4 linked regions of the Drosophila melanogaster genome follow. The protein of the gene in region 2 interacts with the protein of the main gene of each other region in a pairwise test. Each region holds a gene or a part of one and is shown on either strand. Other genes may lie near its edges. The genes, in order: Roc2, CG7763, CG6770 and TwdlE.

What was found.
Region 1: the proteins of CG7763 (region 2) and Roc2 interact in a two-hybrid assay, tested with the Drosophila melanogaster proteins (one large-scale study listed by BioGRID).
Region 3: the proteins of CG7763 (region 2) and CG6770 interact in a two-hybrid assay, tested with the Drosophila melanogaster proteins (one large-scale study listed by BioGRID).
Region 4: the proteins of CG7763 (region 2) and TwdlE interact in a two-hybrid assay, tested with the Drosophila melanogaster proteins (one large-scale study listed by BioGRID).

Annotation. Positions count from the first base shown.
Region 1 is NT_033778.4:11,675,945-11,681,442, forward strand, and holds the start of Roc2 (regulator of cullins 2), read right to left. Parts: upstream 3,411-5,498; 5' UTR 3,326-3,410; intron 2,950-3,325; 5' UTR 2,854-2,949; intron 2,511-2,853; 5' UTR 2,422-2,510; coding exon 2,262-2,421; intron 2,071-2,261; exon of another isoform or gene 1,955-2,070; coding exon of another isoform or gene 1,770-1,954; intron 1,710-1,769; coding exon of another isoform or gene 1,424-1,709; intron 1,368-1,423; coding exon of another isoform or gene 582-1,367; intron 394-581; coding exon of another isoform or gene 268-393; intron 187-267; coding exon of another isoform or gene 103-186; exon of another isoform or gene 1-102. Other genes in the region: Tret1-2 (trehalose transporter 1-2), read left to right, coding at 103-186, 268-393, 582-1,367, 1,424-1,709, 1,770-1,954.
Region 2 is NT_033778.4:11,412,385-11,416,428, reverse strand, and holds CG7763 (uncharacterized protein), read right to left. Parts: upstream 1,920-4,044; 5' UTR 1,874-1,919; coding exon 1,805-1,873; intron 1,744-1,804; coding exon 1,114-1,743; 3' UTR 967-1,113; downstream 1-966. Other genes in the region: drip, read left to right, coding at 3,444-3,797, 3,855-4,001.
Region 3 is NT_033779.5:12,044,567-12,048,299, forward strand, and holds CG6770 (uncharacterized protein), read right to left. Parts: upstream 1,553-3,733; 5' UTR 1,410-1,552; coding exon 1,200-1,409; 3' UTR 777-1,199; downstream 1-776. Other genes in the region: Plzf (promyelocytic leukemia zinc finger), read right to left, coding at 2,830-3,726.
Region 4 is NT_033779.5:7,857,216-7,863,148, reverse strand, and holds TwdlE (TweedleE), read left to right. Parts: upstream 1-2,309; 5' UTR 2,310-2,448; coding exon 2,449-2,466; intron 2,467-2,547; coding exon 2,548-2,768; intron 2,769-3,028; exon of another isoform or gene 3,029-4,224; coding exon 4,225-4,579; 3' UTR 4,580-5,192; downstream 5,193-5,933.

The sequences.
Region 1 (5,498 bases), 260 kb from region 2:
TTGAGTTTTGACGAGCTAAAGCTGTATTAGCTACATTCACCGCCTCGTTGCCAGCAAAAAACGATTTCAGTTCGTGATTCAGTTTAAAGATACAGTGCCGCAATGAAGATCCTGATGCGAGCGGACACCCATGTGTCCTTCTCCGTGCCCGCCGATGGGCTCAAGGCCAATTTTACCTTTTCCCAGGTGCCTCCTTTACATTAGTGAAAAATACTTTGGAGAACTGCGAGCCTTACAAATTAAAATCGTTTTCCTTCCTATTTCCAGGTTTTGGCTGCTCTGAGTGTCTCGCTGTGCTCCTTGGTGGTCGGATTTGTCAGCGCTTACACGTCGCCTGCACTTGTGTCGATGACCGATCGGACCATCACCTCCTTTGAGGTCACAAAAGATGCTGTAAGTTTTGTTAACTCTTTGTTCGCAGATAAGCTAATTCGAAGCTAATAAGTCCCAGTGATATGTTGAATAATTCAGATAATTTCAACAGAGCGTTTCAAAGGCACACTTTTCCAGCGAAAATCGGATTTCTATTCCCAAACGAAGCTAAACCCCTATCCAATCACTTGAAATCTATACTATTGCAGGGTTCCTGGGTTGGTGGCATCATGCCACTGGCTGCATTAGCAGGTGGCATAACAGGAGGACCCTTGATCGAATATCTGGGCAGGCGCAGCACCATCCTGGCCACTGCGGTGCCCTTCATCGTATCATCACTGCTGATTGCGTGTGCTGTGAATGTGATCATGATTCTGTGCGGACGATTCCTAACTGGATTCTGCGTTGGCATTGCCTCTTTATCCCTGCCCGTCTACCTGGGTGAGACTTTGCAGCCGGAAGTGCGGGGCACTTTGGGTTTGCTGCCCACCGCTCTTGGTAACATAGGCATCCTGGTTTGCTATGTGGCGGGATCCTTTATGAATTGGTCGATGCTGGCCTTCTTGGGAGCTGCTCTGCCCGTTCCCTTCCTGATTTTGATGATCATTATCCCCGAAACTCCGCGCTGGTTTGTGAACCGTGGTCAGGAAGAGCGCGCCAGGAAGGCTTTGAAATGGCTGCGTGGCAAGGAGGCGGATGTGGAGCCCGAACTAAAGGAGTTGATGCAATCTCAGGCCGATGCCGATCGTCAGGCCACTCAGAACACCTGTTTGGAGCTGTTTAAGCGAAACAATCTGAAGCCACTTTCCATTTCCTTGGGTCTGATGTTCTTTCAACAGTTCAGCGGTATCAACGCGGTTATTTTCTACACGGTCCAGATCTTCAAGGATGCGGGATCCACAATTGATAGCAATCTTTCCACGATCATCGTGGGTGTAGTTAACTTTTTTGCTACGTTTATGGGCATCATTCTGATTGATCGGTTGGGCAGAAAGGTGGGTTTAAAGATGCATATAAATGAAAATCATTGTTTACTAATCGTAATTTTTAGATTCTTCTGTATGTATCCGACATCGCCATGATCGTGACCCTGTCCATTCTGGGCGGCTTCTTCTACTGCAAGGCGCATGGTCCGGATGTGTCCCATTTGGGTTGGTTGCCACTCACTTGCTTCGTTATCTACATTCTGGGATTCTCCCTGGGCTTCGGACCCATTCCCTGGCTGATGATGGGTGAGATTCTGCCAGCCAAGATTCGAGGACCGGCTGCATCGGTGGTCACGGCTTTCAACTGGTTCTGCACGTTTGTGGTAACCAAGACCTTCCAGGACCTCACGGGTGCGTAGTGCAACTAACTAAAATAAGTGGTGTAATAATATTTAATATTTTTGTGTGTAGTTGCTATGGGCGCGCATGGAGCCTTCTGGCTATTCGGCGCCATCTGCATCGTGGGTCTGTTCTTTGTGATTATTTTTGTGCCCGAAACGCGGGGCAAGTCGTTGGAGGAAATTGAGCGAAAGATGATGGGCCGTGTGCCCATGTCCTCGGTGGTCAACATCAAGCCATTTCCTTTCAACATGTAAATGGCGTGTTGCTAAGGATCTGAGATGCGTTCAAACCAAATAGTAGGGTGGTGTCTTCGTGCTTAAATTGTGAATTTTTAGGCAAGCGCAATAAATCAAAATTACCGTTGAAAAATACACCAATTGAAAGTTTTTAGGCACTTATGTATATGTGAGTAAAAAACATTTTCGCTTGCGATATGCACAAGATAGTGTTAACAAAGACACCAGTATAATAATATTCTAGTTACATATTGTTACATATGTAGGACCTTTTATTATTATTAATACTCAAGATTAGAGTTTTGAAATCAGTGGTATTGCTCACCCATAACTTGAACACGGCAAATGGCACAGATATCGCATTCCACATCCCAACTCCACATTGCAACTGCGTTCCATTTCTTCAGCGTAAACATTTTTTCCGGTTTGCCGGCATCTCCGTCGTCTGTGGGCCTATCCACTGAGTTTTCTGGATCATCAGCCATGTCAAAAAAGTCTGGGAAACTGACCAATCCACTGGGCTAATGAGATTCGGTTTTTTAATATTTTTTTTTTGTTTCTTGTGTATATCCTCCTGTATGGGAGATTTTAATTAGTATTACAAATAGCGGTTTAAAAATGTTTTTTAATTTTACAATACAATATATTAATTTTTTAAGGTTCTTTTATTTTTAATTTCCCTTTAATGTTTTATGTTTTTATTTTTATTTGGTAAACAATTTTAAGTTTTATTCGACCCCGTTTTTAAATATTTTTCTAACTGTTAATTTATAGGGTATTAGAAACTCTAAACCGGACCTATCTTAGTTATTGATTATTAGCAAATGGCAAAGTGGTCTAACCAGGTCCGGACATCAGTACGTAACTCAGGTTTAGGATTTTAAATAAGGTAATTATACAAATATTAGGAATATTACTCGAAAAATATGCTTAATAGGCGTAGGAGAGCTACAAGTAGAAAAGTTCAAAAATGATCAACAGGTGTTGCTTCCTTCCAACTGGTGGCGATAATTCTACGAACAAACGGTATATTAGTATTAGGGAACAGAGTAACGGGTATCTGATAGTTGAGCCATTCGACTAAGCGCATTCTTCTTGATTGTTTTTTGTTTTATGAATATTGGTAGCTGCGGAATAGGGGGATAGACTATAAAGCCTCTCACTTATCCCTGGTAAAAATGTAATTTACTTTCGTAGCAAGTGGCTGATACGAATTTTAATGTTTTGCTCAACTTGCCAAAAAGTTACTTCTTCCTCCGAGAACAAAGAAATGCCATTCTCAGTTGTATACGAAGGAAAGGTTATCACAGTGTTCGTTAAGTTGTTAACCTCACTCCTACTTCTTGCTTAGTTTCGGGCAAATGATAAGGAACCGCCGGTTTGACTTACCAACAAATAAGAAGTCGAAATAATTGAATGTAAACAATAGCAAGCCAAAAGTCAGTGTGGCCACACCAAAACAAGGGAAAACTATTTTCAGTGTTGCCACAGCCATTTAGGGGATACATTCACCTTATATGCACGGACACACCTATCGACGACCGATAATTAAATATCGATAAGGCGGTTAATTTGTTTTGTGATTTGGTTTTCGCTTACTTCAACTTCGGTTCAATTCATTTTCAGCCTTCGACGAGTGCGGAACGTTTGCGGCAGCGTTTTTCGGCCGCGCTTCTCAAGTTTCAGCTTGCGTTGGGAAATAAACGGTTGGTTTCCAATGCACTAACACAAATTTGACAATATAAATTATTTGCGGTTTCCGGTGATTACTTTAAAATGAAAACCTTCGAACGACAAAAGCTGACCGTGAATATACAGCAACCTGATTCCGATTCCGTTGCCAACCAGAACGCGCCCCGCATAAGTAATTAAGTAATTTCCATGCCGCTCAGCCGGAATCTAACAGTTCAGCCTTATTATTCGCCCATCGTAAACTGAAATTGAAAAAGATAATGGCAAATGACCCATTATCACTATCAGCACAAATGGCGCATCCGACAATCAAAGATAAACATCCCGTATCAATGCGATCCGATGCCAAATGTGCGATAAGCCGATTAAGGGAGTGGTATTTTAGTAAATAAATGTGGAGAAATTAGTTGTTTTTCACAGTAAGCAATAAATTTTCAAATAGCAAATGTAAAATCTACATAAGCCTTACAAAATGACGACGTGTTAAATGCCAATTAAGAGCAAATATCACCTGTGGCTAATGAAAATGTGCAATTTAATACAACCGCAAACAAATGTGGAAGTAACAAATAATGAAAATTTAAACAGATAAAGGTCATTTCGTAGACTTAAACACAAATGAGTGTCAAAAGCGATACGGATAAATATCAATAATTGCAAAATAAAACCCTTGAGTTGAACGCCCTTTTTTTTAACCGGAATAAAGAAGTAGCAGCTGAAGGAGAAACAGGCCAACAGCAAGTTTAATTTAATTAAATTTCGTTGTTTTCTGTGTGCGTGTGTGAGTGTGTTGTTGTTGCTTTTGTTGTTGGCTTTGCTGGATAATCAACGTAATGCTTCCACCCACATCGCGCGAAAGAGATAGCACTAGCGCAATTGACTTTGCCATAAATGATTTTTGGTTTTTTTTCTGCTATTTCTTTCTTGTTTTTTCATGCTTTTCTGTTTGTTTGTTTGTTTGTAAGTTGGTCGCTGGCAATTAGTGGAACGACAAATGTTTATTGACAAAGGCATTGGACACTTTGATTTACCGGGTCTATTCGGTTAAATTGTTTATGATTTTTAAGCGAAAATTATAGATATATGTACATGTGTATGTACATATGGGGGTGTTGTATCTCAGAGATATCGATGGTAAATGTGACACTTTGTGGGTGTATCTATAATCGTATAAAGTGGAACTCTAGTCGCTAAAAAATAAAATCAAACTCTTAAAGGCAGTTTTGTTTTCCTTATAAGCTAGATCGATAAATTTCCACAGCTTACCAGTAAATTTTCATTTAGAGCAGTTTCGAGTATATACAAAAGTGTTTAAAATTTTGCATGTGAAACTATAGCAAAGTTTCGAACATGTACATATAAATTTCAGAAAGCATATTTTAACAGGTTGTACATATATTCAAGATTTGAATGTCATAATTCATTTCAAAAGTAACTATCTGGTATATTTAAAAACCAAATTCCATCACAAAAGTGTGTTTATTTAATGTTTAAAAATGCCAATAAATGCTCAATTGCAACACCCATTTTCCAAGTATGAGTGCAAATGTTTTAGGGATTTCGAACAAGATCACTTCATGCCCCCGATGCCACAAAGCCTCGAGAAGTAAATGCAATTAACTGGCGAAAAGCACTTGCGCCCCCTTGCCCCTCCCTTTAGACCATATTAACTTGGCTTTAACGCCGTGCACGTTCGATTTGAATGACGCACATTGGCGGCTGAATGGTTGAAAAAGTGCAAAATCAACAATTAATGAACTGAACAATGTTTGCCACCTGTAACGTCTGAGGATGGTGTAAATTTCCAATTGCAAACGATGTCAAACAGAGGCGTTTTACCGTCTGCTAATTTCCCATTTTCATTTCAAGC
Region 2 (4,044 bases):
ATGGGCGACGTGGCGTCCTCCGGTAGCGGGTCGTTGTTTTATTAATTTAAATTAGGTCTTGGCGCAACATAGGTTTACATTTTTATTTTAGAAATTTTACACCTTTTATTGAATTATGCAATATTTGTTGCGCCCCGGGATGGGCGTAGTTCCCCCCGGCAGCGGGTAATTGCTATTTTATCATTTTATACACAGCTCACGCAGCACTTCTTTTTCATTTATGGATTTCAGATCTTAATCTGACTTATGCACACCACCACTATTTTTACGCACAAATTTCCACAATTTTTTCGTATCACTTTTATCGGCCGGACATTGCCGGTCCCTGCTCGGGCGCCAGTTAACGCAAGTTCCACTTGCATCAGGGTTCTCGGCACTCGCTGCCGCATACCTCACCTCGATATGACAACCAACATGCTGTGGTTCTCCAAATAATAGTCAAGATAGTTAAGAGGGTTCGAGTTTACGATTAGCTTTATTTTAAGATTCAGTTCGCGATCTGCTAGCGGTTCCGTTATGTGTCCGTTCGACACTGGGGCCTCTTCTCCCGCCCCGCTGCTTTTATATCCGCTTCCCCCGTTGACCCCTCACCCTGAGTGCGACCAACGGCACTTGTTCCGAATGCACACATACACAAACATGTTCCTAGACAGGCCCCGAGTCGCCTGCTGACGGGGCCCGAAAACACGAGAGCCGAGCGCTGGTGAGTCCTGACGAAGATCGCAAGAAGAGGGTTCGTAACTTACACGAACATGTTACTAGACAGGCCCCGAGTCGCCTGCTGACGGGGCCCGAAAACACGAGAGCCGAGCGCTGGTGAGTCCTGACGAAGAGCGCAAGAAGAGGGTTCTTAACTTATATATCTCGATCGGGGGAAGAGTCTTGCCAGACTTTTTGTAGCCAATGGAAAACCTTGAGAGCACGGAGAGTGCTGACACAAAATAATGAAATAGTGGTCAATTCATATAGGATTATATGTATATTCGTAAATAAAGTCTTATTCCAACTTGTTCGTTTTGAAATAAACATTATACTTATTTCCTCCATAAACCATGTGGTAAATGTCAGATATCAAAAACTAATATTAACTTCAAAGAGATAAATATTTTTGTATTATATTTCAATAGATTTTTCGCAAATAAAATAGAGATTGGCAAAACATGAGTTATCGTTCATGGTAGTTTTCCCATTGAATGTTCGGATATCCACACACTCTCCATCTTTTGTGGGTTCCCCATCGGCCCAACTCAAAAAATTGGCCTTCGATCCTTTGGTCACAGAAACGAATTCACTTTCGTTGAACTGATTGGTCACGTCGATCCAGTAGCGATTCAGGCCATTAAGTTGGTTATTGAATCTATCCAATTCCTCCTGACTTTGCAGACTGGCCAGATGGCCACCCATTTTGTGGCATTTATCCAAAGCATCGTGCCAGTTTAGCTTCTCTTCCTTTTCGATGTAGTAGTATTTGCTTCCCAGTTGTTGGAAAATTTCGTTTTCTTCCAGTTTTCTGCCCATTGCTGTACCGTGTGTCAGCAGTTGTTGCGAAGTATTTTGATTTTCCAGCTGCAAGTTCGTTGAAGTGCCAAAATTGTCCAGTCTTCGGTCATTTAGGGCTATTCTCGCTATTGCAACAGCTGCTTCACAGGCTTCAACCCTTCGTTGCAAATTGCCCATGCTCGCGATGCAGGGATTCAAGACACCGTAGCAATATGCAGCACATTGGGAATCGCTTTCAACGCCCTAAGAAGATATGTGAATGTAAATATTTAGCATTTCTAAACCACTTCTCTACTTCACTCACCTCGCAGGCTGCTGAATAACTTGAACTCAGACACAACGGGAGTACCAAAAATATAATAGATTTTTGCATTGCTGCGATTCTGAGATCTTTTAAATCCGAGTGCCAAAAACAGACTGACTTAAATGCTTCGAAACCAAGTATATTAGAAAGAAATCCAATAAAGAAAGAAACAGAAAATCTGACGCTGCATGATGATAAGAGATAGGTACTATGTACGACTTATCGCTCTGCACAGCATGTGGGTATAGTTATCTGCATACACAGAAAAACATAATGCAATTCATAATTCATAAAAATTAAAAATATATTTAACATTTTTTAATTAGATCGGCTTAGAACTAAAAAGTCACATAGTGTAATTAACCCATTCGAAATGCGTAATAAACTCGTAGCGTAATCACATAGGCCTAACTCGATTAGAGCCATATTTCATCGATGACTCACGTCTAAGTTCAGTCAGTCCGTCATTCGCGGTTTTCACACGCAGCCGGTCTGTCGATCTCGATTGCTTTCGTTGCATATATTAAATTTAATTATGGGTTTCGGGCTCGACAATAAATTTGATTAATTTCACGACTCTTCGAGTGTGTGCAGCTAAGACGAGTGGAGGCATTGAGTCGAGAACAATAGGCCTAAACTATTGTGGCTAAAAGCTTTAGATCCAAACGATTAGGTCAGGCTGAGTGGCGGCAGCAAAGGCGGCAACTTAGTCTTAGTATAGACGAAGTCGAAATTGCGCTGCACGCATGCGCATAACCAAAATGTCAAGAAGTTGTTCGAGTTGTAGTGGCTGCTCGGATTTGTGGCCTATTGCCGTTTGGGCCGCAAAACGCGACTCGAACTTGCTCTTGGCGGCATTTGTAATTAGCGTTTTGTGGCCGAACAGCCAACACACGGGCATTTTTTTTTGTTTTTTTCTTTTTTGCGCATTTATTAATTAAACGCACAGCGACGCACGACATTGGCCGTGCGTCCAATGCGAACTGCGAACCGCGAAATCCATATCGAAATCGAATTCGTATCACCAAAACGTAGAGAAACACGGCTGGAAAGAGATATCAAACATAGAAGCCTGCACATCGACCTTGGGCGCAGAGTGAACAGTGCATTTCGGGCTCCATTCATAACACTTGATCCAATCCAATCCAATCCAATACGATGCGATGCGATGCGAGGCGATCCGATCCAATGCGATTTCCATTTAAGTGATTCCATGTGATCTCTTCACGGGCAATGACTCAACAGAACCCCGAATCACTTTTACTTCCCAGCCAGCTCCACCTGAACTTTGCAGACACGCTAAACACAATAAATGCACTCGAGTGCATCTCACGTCTGACAAATTGCTTGTATCCGCTGGCAGTTCGATATGCAACGATATTGTGCAATGGAAAATTCGGAAAATCGCACAATCAGCTTCATGGCAAAGGGCAAACTTTGAGCGCAGCTATGGTTAAGATGTTGCGTTGTCAACTCGACATTTGCAAGCGCCGATGGAGGTGGAGATAGGCCATTATCTACATTATGTTCGACTGGGCCTTAGCCTCCTTGATTTGATCTTCATACTTTTTTTCCTCTTTTATTGAGCCTTATAATAAATATATTCTTGAATATCCTCTTATTTTGTTCTCTCTCTCAGGGCTTGGGCCACCTCAGTGGCTGTCACATTAATCCGGCGGTCACCCTTGGATTCCTGATCGTTGGTGAGATCAGCATTCTGAAGGCTGCCTTCTACATCATCGTCCAATGCGTGGGCGCCATTGCTGGAGCGGCTGTGATAAAGGTGGCACTCGATGGAGTGGCTGGTGGCGACCTGGGAGTATCCTCCTTTGATCCCTCCCTGAACTGTGCACAGGCGGTGCTGATCGAAGCGCTGATCACCTTTATTTTGGTTTTCGTGGTCAAGGCTGTTTCGGATCCTGGACGCCAGGATATCAAGGGATCAGCGCCACTGGCTGTTGGTTTGGCCATCGCCGCTGGCCATTTGTGTGCAGTGAGTACGAGGTGATGGAGTTCTCCGACTGGAGGTTAATAAGTGTACCATTTACAGATCAAACTGAGCGGTGCCAGCATGAATCCCGCCCGGTCCTTTGGTCCCGCCGTAGTGCAGGGCGTCTGGACCTATCACTGGGTTTACTGGGTGGGTCCCATTGCCGGCGGCCTGTTGGCCGGAATCATCTACAGATTAATCTTCAAGGTACGCAAGGGCGATGATGAGACCGACTCGTACGACTTCTAAA
Region 3 (3,733 bases), on a different chromosome or scaffold from region 2:
TCAGACGAAATGCTATTTAATGAAGATAAGGAATATTTATGACTAACCAAAATGCGAATTTAAACATACATAAGAGTCTTGGAATTTTAATTGTCAATATGTTCGAACAATTTCATTAATATGCATTATAGCAAAACCACCTGATCGAGAGTCTGTTTTATTGTTTACCAAATATCAACAACGCAATTCAAAAAGCCGGCAAATGGCGTTTATAGAGAGAGAGAGAGCGAGAGAGAGGAGAGAATTCCATTAGAGTGGACCTTTCTGGAAAAGTTTGTTCGGTTTATTTTTGTACGTGTGCTTGTTTGTTTGTGAGTGGAAAATAACATAGCTTTTGTAATTTTGGACACCTAATGTAAAAATATCGTTTAGTATTGAAAGTCAATAAAAGCGGCGCAATATTCATAAATGCAACCTTACACGCAAATTTAAACCGGAAGAAATGATGCAGGAATATGTGTGTGCAAGTTTAATTACCTGTGTAACTGGTGAACTTTCAATGGAAGGTCTCGGGAATATTTCCGTTTGCAAACTAACATACATACATTACATACACAAATAAATATGTTCATACATGTTCTCTTTTTGGTCGATCGCTGTAAACAAAGAAAAAAGTCGACTGCAACTGCTTTTGCGATAATCGAGGAGCTGAGTGCAAATGAGTTCAACTAAAAGGCTATAAATATGCACAACAGCACACCAACGGCATTCAAAAAGCTCTCTCGCTTGGAAAGGTGCGCTGCAAATGCAAATGAAAATAAGACGACCAGGCTATTCAGTTTTGGTTTTCTCTTTATTTTATATGTATTACCTAAGTCAAACTTCATTATTTGAAACGCTCTAAGGCTTAGCAACTAAAACTTGCAAGTCTGAATTAGTTTAGGAATATATTAGAAGCTAAGAGTAGTATGTGCCTTTCTTTTTTTGTGTTTGTGAAATTATAAGCGAAATAAAATTATTATAATGTTCACAAAGTTTAGCGCCGCATGAAAAGCCAATGCACAATACAAATGCAATGTGTATTTCCAGCTGGCTTTTGTTTTTCTTTCTTTCCTTCCAGCAAAACTGCTGCTTGTTCTTCTTTTTCTTCTCTCCTTTGCTTTTGCTTTCCTTTTAAATTCGAAGATTTCTTTTCTCCTTTCAGCGCGGCCCCGTTACTTCTTTCTCTCCTGTTCCACCGCCTCCGTCGATGCCCTGCATCAGTTCTTGCAGGCGGCGGCTTTCTTGTTGTTGTTGTTGGTGTTCATCAGCTTGGTCAGAATCTTGCGGGAATGACCGGAGGGATCGAAGTGGTTGGTGTGCTCATTGGCCTCCCTCTTGTTGCGCTGCTTGCCGCTGTGTCCAGAGAAGATGTGCTTGTCATGGTCGAAGTTGTAGTGCTCGTACTCATCGAAGTGGGCCTCGGACATAATGGCGATTTAAGGTTGCAAAACTAACTGCGTTCTTGGTTGGTGTCTGCTTTTTGTTTCTCTGCAAACTTGCAGGCTGCTTTCCAAATTTCTCTTCTGCTTTTTTTTGTTCACTTTTCGCTGAGCTGCGAACGGAATTGAATTTTTTCGGTCGAGCAGCGGCTTTTATAGGCGCGCAAGCTTTCTGTTCCGTAACCAAAGCTCTCTCTCCGTCAGAGTTGCCGGATTTAGCTAAAGAAACTACTAGAAGGGCATTTAATTGTTGCTTACGTGTAGTTACTAAAAATATTTAATTTTTCTATAACTTTCTACTGAACTTTTACAAAATATATTTGCTCTTTTTTATGTAAAAGAATTTTTAGTTATTAAAATTCATAGTTATTGGGCCTGACAACCCTTTTGCGCTCAAGAGAGTGCCTCCTTGACAATTTTTGCTGCGCAATTTAATTTTTTGCTGTTTACAAAGTGCGCGGTAAACAAAAAAACTGAAATCGCCAAACATATTATTTCGCCTTGTTCATTTATTTTAATAATTTAAGAACTTTTAAGCATACACACGTTCCTGAGTGGTTACATAACACACACCCACCTTGGCCCTCCGCAAACGACCATCAAAGTGCATTTACCCTGCATTTGTTTCTCCACCCAATAAATATAGAATTAAATGCATCATATGTTCTGGATACACTGCTCAAAATTTGTTTATTTTTTTACACTCAACAATATTTGAATGTTAGGGCACAAGAAACAATTTAGCAATAATTATAATTCGAATAACATTTTTGATTTACAAAAGATATACTCATAATGGATATTTATTTTGGTGCATTAGAACCTGATCGGTTGACCCACTTCCCTCCCACCAGGCAACGCATTTGTTTATTTCTGAATAGCGAAAAGCTTTCAGTTTGTTTTGGTTTAATGGATTTTATATAAACAAATGTTACGTACATACATATATACATAGCCTTCTGGCGTTGATAAGGTGCTAACTATCGCTCTAGTTAGTCATTTGGCAGGTATTCGTTCTGAAAGTTCGTCTTCAAACGACGCAATAGATCGTAGTCACCATCTTAGATAAGATAGAACGGCCTCAACAATGTTGTTTCAAGAACCTGCCACAATATACCACTTTATTTACAATTCGTTGGTAGCAAATCAATCTTTAGATTTCTCGATGGTTCTTTTTTAATGGCTTTAAAAAGAAACTGGGTTTCCGTGAATATTCTAGATACAATTTTGTTGTACTAGAACTCAGAACGAGAGATCCCACGTCTCATTTTGTAAATATAGCAAATGTTCTAAACTTGCTGATACAGTCTCTTTTCAACATAGTTATTCTAAATATTTACTATTGACCTTTGCCTCACAAATCTCTTTCTCTGAGAAGTTATGAATGGGGTAACCTTCCGTTTTATTCCTATTCTACAGTCTCCTTGGGCAGTAGTGTTTTCAGTCGCTTGTCAGGATTAACATTCCTTATAGTCTTGCTCTTAACACTCTTTGGCTTCTTCTTGGGTGACGTTTCGATCACGGGAAGCTCAAAGTCATCGGGAAAGCTACTGTCCACCGTTTCCGAGAGCTCCAACTGCACCGGTTTCTCTGTGTGAACCCGCTGCACGTGCTCCTTCATTTTGTCGGAGCGATGACTGCTGAATCCACACAGCTGGCACTTGTAGCGGTTCGGACCATTCTCCGTGTGCTTGAGGGCGTGACGCTTGAGGTTTTTGCTCTGGCTGAACTTGCAGCCACAGACCTCGCAGATAAAATCGCGACCCTGTTTGTGAGTTTCAATGTGCAATTTGAGGTTCTCCTTGCGATTGGCTCGATGCTTGCAGCCTGAAACTGTGCACGCAAAGAATTCTCCGGTGTGAAGCAGTTTGTGCGACTTGAGGGCCTTCATGTGCGTGGTGCTATAGCCGCAGACGTCGCAGAGCATTTGCTTCTCGGGATTGTGGACCAGGATGTGATTGCTCAGGCCCTGCTTCCACTTGAAGCCCTTGCCGCAATGTGGACATATGTGCGGCGTTTCCGTGGAATGCTTAGGCTGATGGACGAGCAGGGCAGCTCGTGTGTTGAAGCGGATGCCGCACTGTAAGCAAAAGAAGGGCTTACGCAGATCACCAGAGTGCCGTCGTAGGTGAGTGTCGTATTCCCGCCAGTCCAGAAAGCCGACTTCGCACAGCGAGCAAATCAAATGGGAGGGCTCACAGCTGCCCATGTGCTCGATCATTTTCTGTACCTGATAGCACTTGAAGTCGCAGCCAATGCAGTAGTTCACTTTGCTGCTGGACTTTACAGCTCGCGGGTTCTTAAGCTTTAAG
Region 4 (5,933 bases), on a different chromosome or scaffold from region 2:
ATTATCTTCTGGCAAAAATAATGGGTCAAGGGTGCCTCGAGGCATAAATTGCGGAAATATTTGCACCGGAAAAACTCCAAAAATTGCCCTAGGACGCGGCGTAACCACTGATGAACCTGCACCTGTTCCATCTTTGTGAATTCAGCATATTTTACCGCGACCAACGAATGATGATGATGACGATGGGTTTGAATGTGAAAGATGAGCGTGGAAAATTAAGGAAATGCAATCCGTGGACAGGGGAGCAAGTGCAGCCGCTGCTGCAGATGAACAACAAAATCAACACAACCTGCCATTTGGCTAACGGCATTATAAATGATGCCATAGAGGAAAAGTGACAGTCTCTGTCTCTGTGACTCTCCTCCAGTTGAGTCTCTCCAACTGTTGCAAGTTGCAGTTGCAATACTGCTGCTGGGTATCTTACTCGGTGCCTGGGTCTACGGTTTACGGTGTCGTCCTCCGTTTGGCGCCACTGGTCGTCACTGATTATGCCATTTCATAAAGCAAAATTCCGGCAGCGATTGTGCAGGAGTGGCCCCAAAATGCGGCCAAGGATCGCTTGCAACCGATGCAAAAATGCTGATTGCCATTTATAGATTATGTGCATAAATCAGGAAAAAAGCTAGCTATTACTTTGGGGGCTATGAGCCATGGAAAAGTTGCAAAACATTTTGCCAATCATAATTTTATCCATCACTCTTCTCTAACGCTAATTGTCATGGCCGGGGCGTAAATTATTAAATAAGAAAAGCAACCCAAAAACAACACTAAAACTTGCCAGAGATAAAAAAAAAAACAAATTGAAGAAATTCAAAATATTGCAAAAACAAAAAAACCAGAGGAGAAAAATTAAATAAAATGCCTGTACAGATGGGTCGACCCAACAAGAGCGTGAAGCTCATTATGAAGCTTCGTGTCCAAAACGCGGACAGCAATTACAAAAGCAACATAGCCAGTAAAACAATAACAATAACAGTAACAATAATAATAACAACAAGCCAGGCCAAGTCAACTCAAGCCAACACACAACACAACCCAAAACACCGAAAGAAGCTGGCTAACAAAAGGCCGAAAGAGCATGAAGAAATGAAATAAAACCAACACCAGATTCAGTCCCACTCCAGAGCACAAAACAAAGCTTAGCCCCATCCCATCTGATCCCAAACCATACCATACCATACTATACCAACCCATTCCCCAAAACGGCTGGCTAAATGAGAGTGAATCCACATTCATTGAAATTGAAAGTGAATCGTGCCACACGATCCGATCCAGAGTCCAGACTTGGTTACGAGTCCACTGCGATTGGATCCTCTAAATGACCAAAATAACAATTTACACACATTAGCTACATATATATAATAAAGCACATATATATATATATTTATATATAAATAACAGAAATCAGAGATTTTAGGAAAAACCATGTTTCTTTGGCAATCAGTTCGAAGGAGTTGTACTCTACAGCGAATCTATACAAATGTTTTAAATGGGCGAGGGAAAAAAATGCACAAGACATATTTATAAATTAAATATTACAAAATATGACTTGCCTTTAATAATTAAACTATCTAAGCTAAGAGAGGCATTTTCTTTTAATGATAAAAGAACAAAAGGCGTGATAAATTAATAATAAGAGAACAGATATTCTCAGATATTCTTAAATTAAGCAGGAAATCGTTAAAGCTGAGGTTACCGCAAAAAAGGCTTTTATTTTCTTGCCTTGAAAATAATGGACCCTTGAAATAAGCTACATTCCAGCAGCTAAGTGTCTTCAGAAATAAAAACCATAAAAAACTATTTGATGGCCTTGCTGCCTCAAGCTTTATTTTACATACATACACTGCACCTTTCAGGTTCCTTATTTTCCCCATGAAAATAATCCTAGTTGGGCAGAAAAACAGAAAAAAAAAAACAACCAACCACATGCTCGAAAAACCACGAAAAAGAAGTAGTTAATCGAAGGAGGAAAGCCAAAGCCAAGAAACGGTCAGCAGACGTTGCAGTTTCGGTTGGCTTTGCGGTCGCCGTTTGCATCGCAGCCAGGAGCTGCAGCCTCAGTTTCCCCACCAGATCATGACTGGCCAAACTTTGGACTTGGCTTAAACATTTCAATTTCTTCATGGCTACATGCTGCTGCCGCTCTTTGCCAACTGCTCAGCCAACTTGGCCGACTGCTCGGTCGACTGCGGCAGCAGCTGAGGCAGCTGAGGCGGCTAAAGCAGCAGCGGTCTTGATCGTCGTCTTGAATTTTACTTAATTTTTATTTCACGCGCTGCGCTGCTATAAAAGAAACTGCAACAATCGTTGTGGCATGCAGTAAGAGGTTCCGCGTCGAAGCAGCACCACATTGCCAGTAACCAGTAACCAGTAACAGCCAGTAGCACCTAGCCACCTGGAGCAGTGACAAAACCCGAAACGGATATACCCGAAATAAGCCACCCGAAAATGCATTCCAGTTGTGTGGTATGATCTTGTGACCAAACCGACCAAGTGGCCGTGATGGACATCGCTTAATGGTGTGTTCTCCTCCGATCTCGTTCGCAGTTAGTGGTCCTCATGGCCCTGGCTGCCCTGGTGGCCGCTCGTCCAGAGCCGCCTCGTGACTCGTACAGTGCGCCCCCCTCCAGCAGCTACCAGCCAAGTGGACCCAGCGGAGGCTACGGCGCCCCTGCGCCCCAGTACGGACCTCCCCAGCAGGCGCCGGTGATTCACAAGCACGTCTACGTCCATGTACCTCCACCAGAGCCGGAATACCAGGCACCCAGGTGAGTGGCAGGATCAAGGATCCTCTAAGCCAACATAAGTTCCAAAGATCGCGAGTAGAATAGGGTTCCCAATAAACCTATTCTTCAACCAAGTTCCGGAAAAGGATCTATGCATACTCGTTTAAAATTTTTGTCTATACTAGATGATAATTATATCAGACCTAAAAATGGAAAAAATCTTTAAAAATGTTATTTTAGACACATTCAGTTTAATCACAAAAGATACGTATTTAAGAGTTTAAGTAATAGTAAAATTATTTATTTTGCATAGTTTCACAAAATAGAAATCGCACTACACTCCCAACACAGTGAGTGAGTGAACAATCGAGAATTTCTTCTGATAAGCCGTACAATATAAACGTACATCCTGCGGTTTTTTTCATTTCACAACGTAATCAGTTCAAATTATTCACACCCCTTATCCAGCACACTTTTTTTTCGACTTGCGTGATTGTGAGCGGTTACAAACGATCTCGCTTTATTTGTCTTGTTCCACTTAAGATTGGAAAAATATGGGGAAAAAACACATTGTTGTGTTATGAGTATATAATCCAAGGCACTTATGCAGATTCTCTCACAATTCATCGGCGTAAACCAGGCAGTGCCGTCAACTCCCAAAGATAATAACTAGACAAATGTTGCAAGAGACCAGCCGGCAATCATCTAATCCAGCTCAGGGCCCTTTTCCACAGCTGTTGCCACATTTCCAGGGTATTTAGAGGGTCGCTTAAACGGAGGAGGAACATTATTTAATACCCGCGAAAACGAAAGCCATCCAACTTTCCTCTCTTTTCGCTGATACAATGTTTTCTGTCGTCTTCTGTCTGTTTTCAATTGGAGTTGGAAGCGATGTTAATTACCACGAGAGGGGAATGATATGGCTTTGCAGACCGCCAAACCGTGACTAAAACGTTACCTAAGCTCGCCGCAGCACTTGTACTCGTATATATCTCAGTACCATTTCCAAGCAAATTATCAGGCGCAGAGGGACAGGAACTCGATTACCATAGGTAGCTTTATGTAAACCCTCGTCTCGAGGCGGTTGTTGTGACAATCGCTGTCATCGTCACAATAGTCATCATCTTCATCTGATTAGTAAAACTGACAAGCAGCTGCAGTGGGTTCAACGTTGTCGGGAGGTCACCATTTTCGGGAGGTCACCATTTATGGGCATGCCATTTGCATGCACCTCAAAGAGAAACTCCTTTCTCCCGCATCGCGGTATTTGTTCGTTCAACAAGGCAAGGTTATAGGAAGTGTGGAAAGTCATTCCAGCCTGGCCGTGTGTAATTGAAATTTTTTTATTCAGTATGTAAATTTTTACAAGCCGGAAGCAAAAAAAGTTGCGTTATATGAGGATGTGGTGTCTTACTTTACCCATAGAATTCCTAAGAAATTCCTTAAATACAGATATAGCAGAACCTTTATTTAAATACATTTTTAAATATTTTCCCAGGAAACCCCTTTACGTGCCACCTCCGCAGAAGCACTACAAGATCGTCTTCATCAAGGCGCCATCTCCACCAGTACCGACCGCCCCTGTAATACCGCAGTTCCCACAGAACGAAGAGAAGACCCTGGTGTACGTGCTAGTCAAGAAGCCGGAGGAGCAGCCGGAGATCATTATCCCAACGCCAGCTCCCACCCAACCCAGCAAGCCGGAGGTGTACTTCATCCGCTACAAGACCCAGAAGGAGGAGACCGGACCCTATCCCAACAGTGTGGCGCCTCCAGCGCCCGAGTACGGAGCTCCAGCTGCCCCGCCCGCACCCTCTGCTCCCAGCAGCTCGTATGGGGCACCATCCCACTAGGCGATCCAGTCCAACCCGAATACCGATTTGCTTATCTCAACCCAACTCATGGCAAACTGCATATCTTATGTGTATTGTATTATTTTCTGTTTCAAGGACCTTAACGCGTGACAAAGTTTACCAAGCAACGAATCTCCCCCATCCCCTCTCCACACCCAGCTCATAGGATTATTACTCCTATAGATGAGTAATTCTTATCTCTGATGTTGTTTCTACCTGATGTACGAGAAGTATGTTTTCCATCTAGGCTGTTTGTTTCAAATTGTTTGTTTAGTCTTAAGTCTAGGTCTTTAAGCGAACGATGCGTTATACACTCACACAAAACACTCGAAACACTCACTGCGAGCTAGCCTTAGTTATCGATAGAGATATCGATCCTGATACCGATTAACGATATATACGTGGTACATGATTTTCATCACAAACGCATTTTCAAGTAGGCAATTTATTCCAATTTCATATTGCACATTTCGCACACGATTTGTCATTAAATAGAATGTGCGAAGCACTCGAAATGCAACAAAAAAAAATGAAGATTAAAATGATACTCAAGTATATAATGTTAAAAACACAAAACATCAATGGCTAAATAAAAGTTTAACGAATTATCTGTACAAGATGGATTTCTTTTTGTATGTTTCACATTGCAAGTCTTAACATATGTGTACATATATTTATATATATCTGTTTACTATACATTTTCATTTGCCTCGCAAATGTATTTGAAATCAGAAGTACAAGAAGCAACCCACATGCCACCGTTATGTATAGAAACGCAACGCTGATCTACATGTTCGTATAGTGGCTCTCCAGGATTCCATTTCAAAAAAGGTGCTCTCTTTCCGGAGGACACAGATATGAAAACGCCCTTTTCAGCCAGATCACTAATGCCAATCATATAAGTGTTGTCTTTGCTTAGTTGCGAAACGATAGCATTAAAGTCTGCTTCATTTATAATTGAGGCTAGATTACCTCCCATCTTTTGACATGCGCTCAAAGCACTGGTCCAATTTTGTTGGACTATGTCTTCGATGTGCAAATATCTCGATCCGATTCGCTTGAACCTATGTAAAATATTTATTTTCGCAGACATATTCTTCAGCGACGTCGTTATACTAGTCAATGCTTCCTGTAGGTCAGATAGTTGACCCTCCATCTTAAGTTCTGACCTATTGGTTCTGTTCTCGATATCCTCTGCAATGATCTTCTTCCACGATTCCGTTAGCGATGTCTTCTGGCTTTCAATTTCTTTTTCAATATCCCTCTGTTGGGCCTGTATTTCTTGCAACTTGCAGGTTTTCCACTGTTCCTGGTGCTGGGCAATGTGACCGATCAATGGCATCAGCGCTTCGAG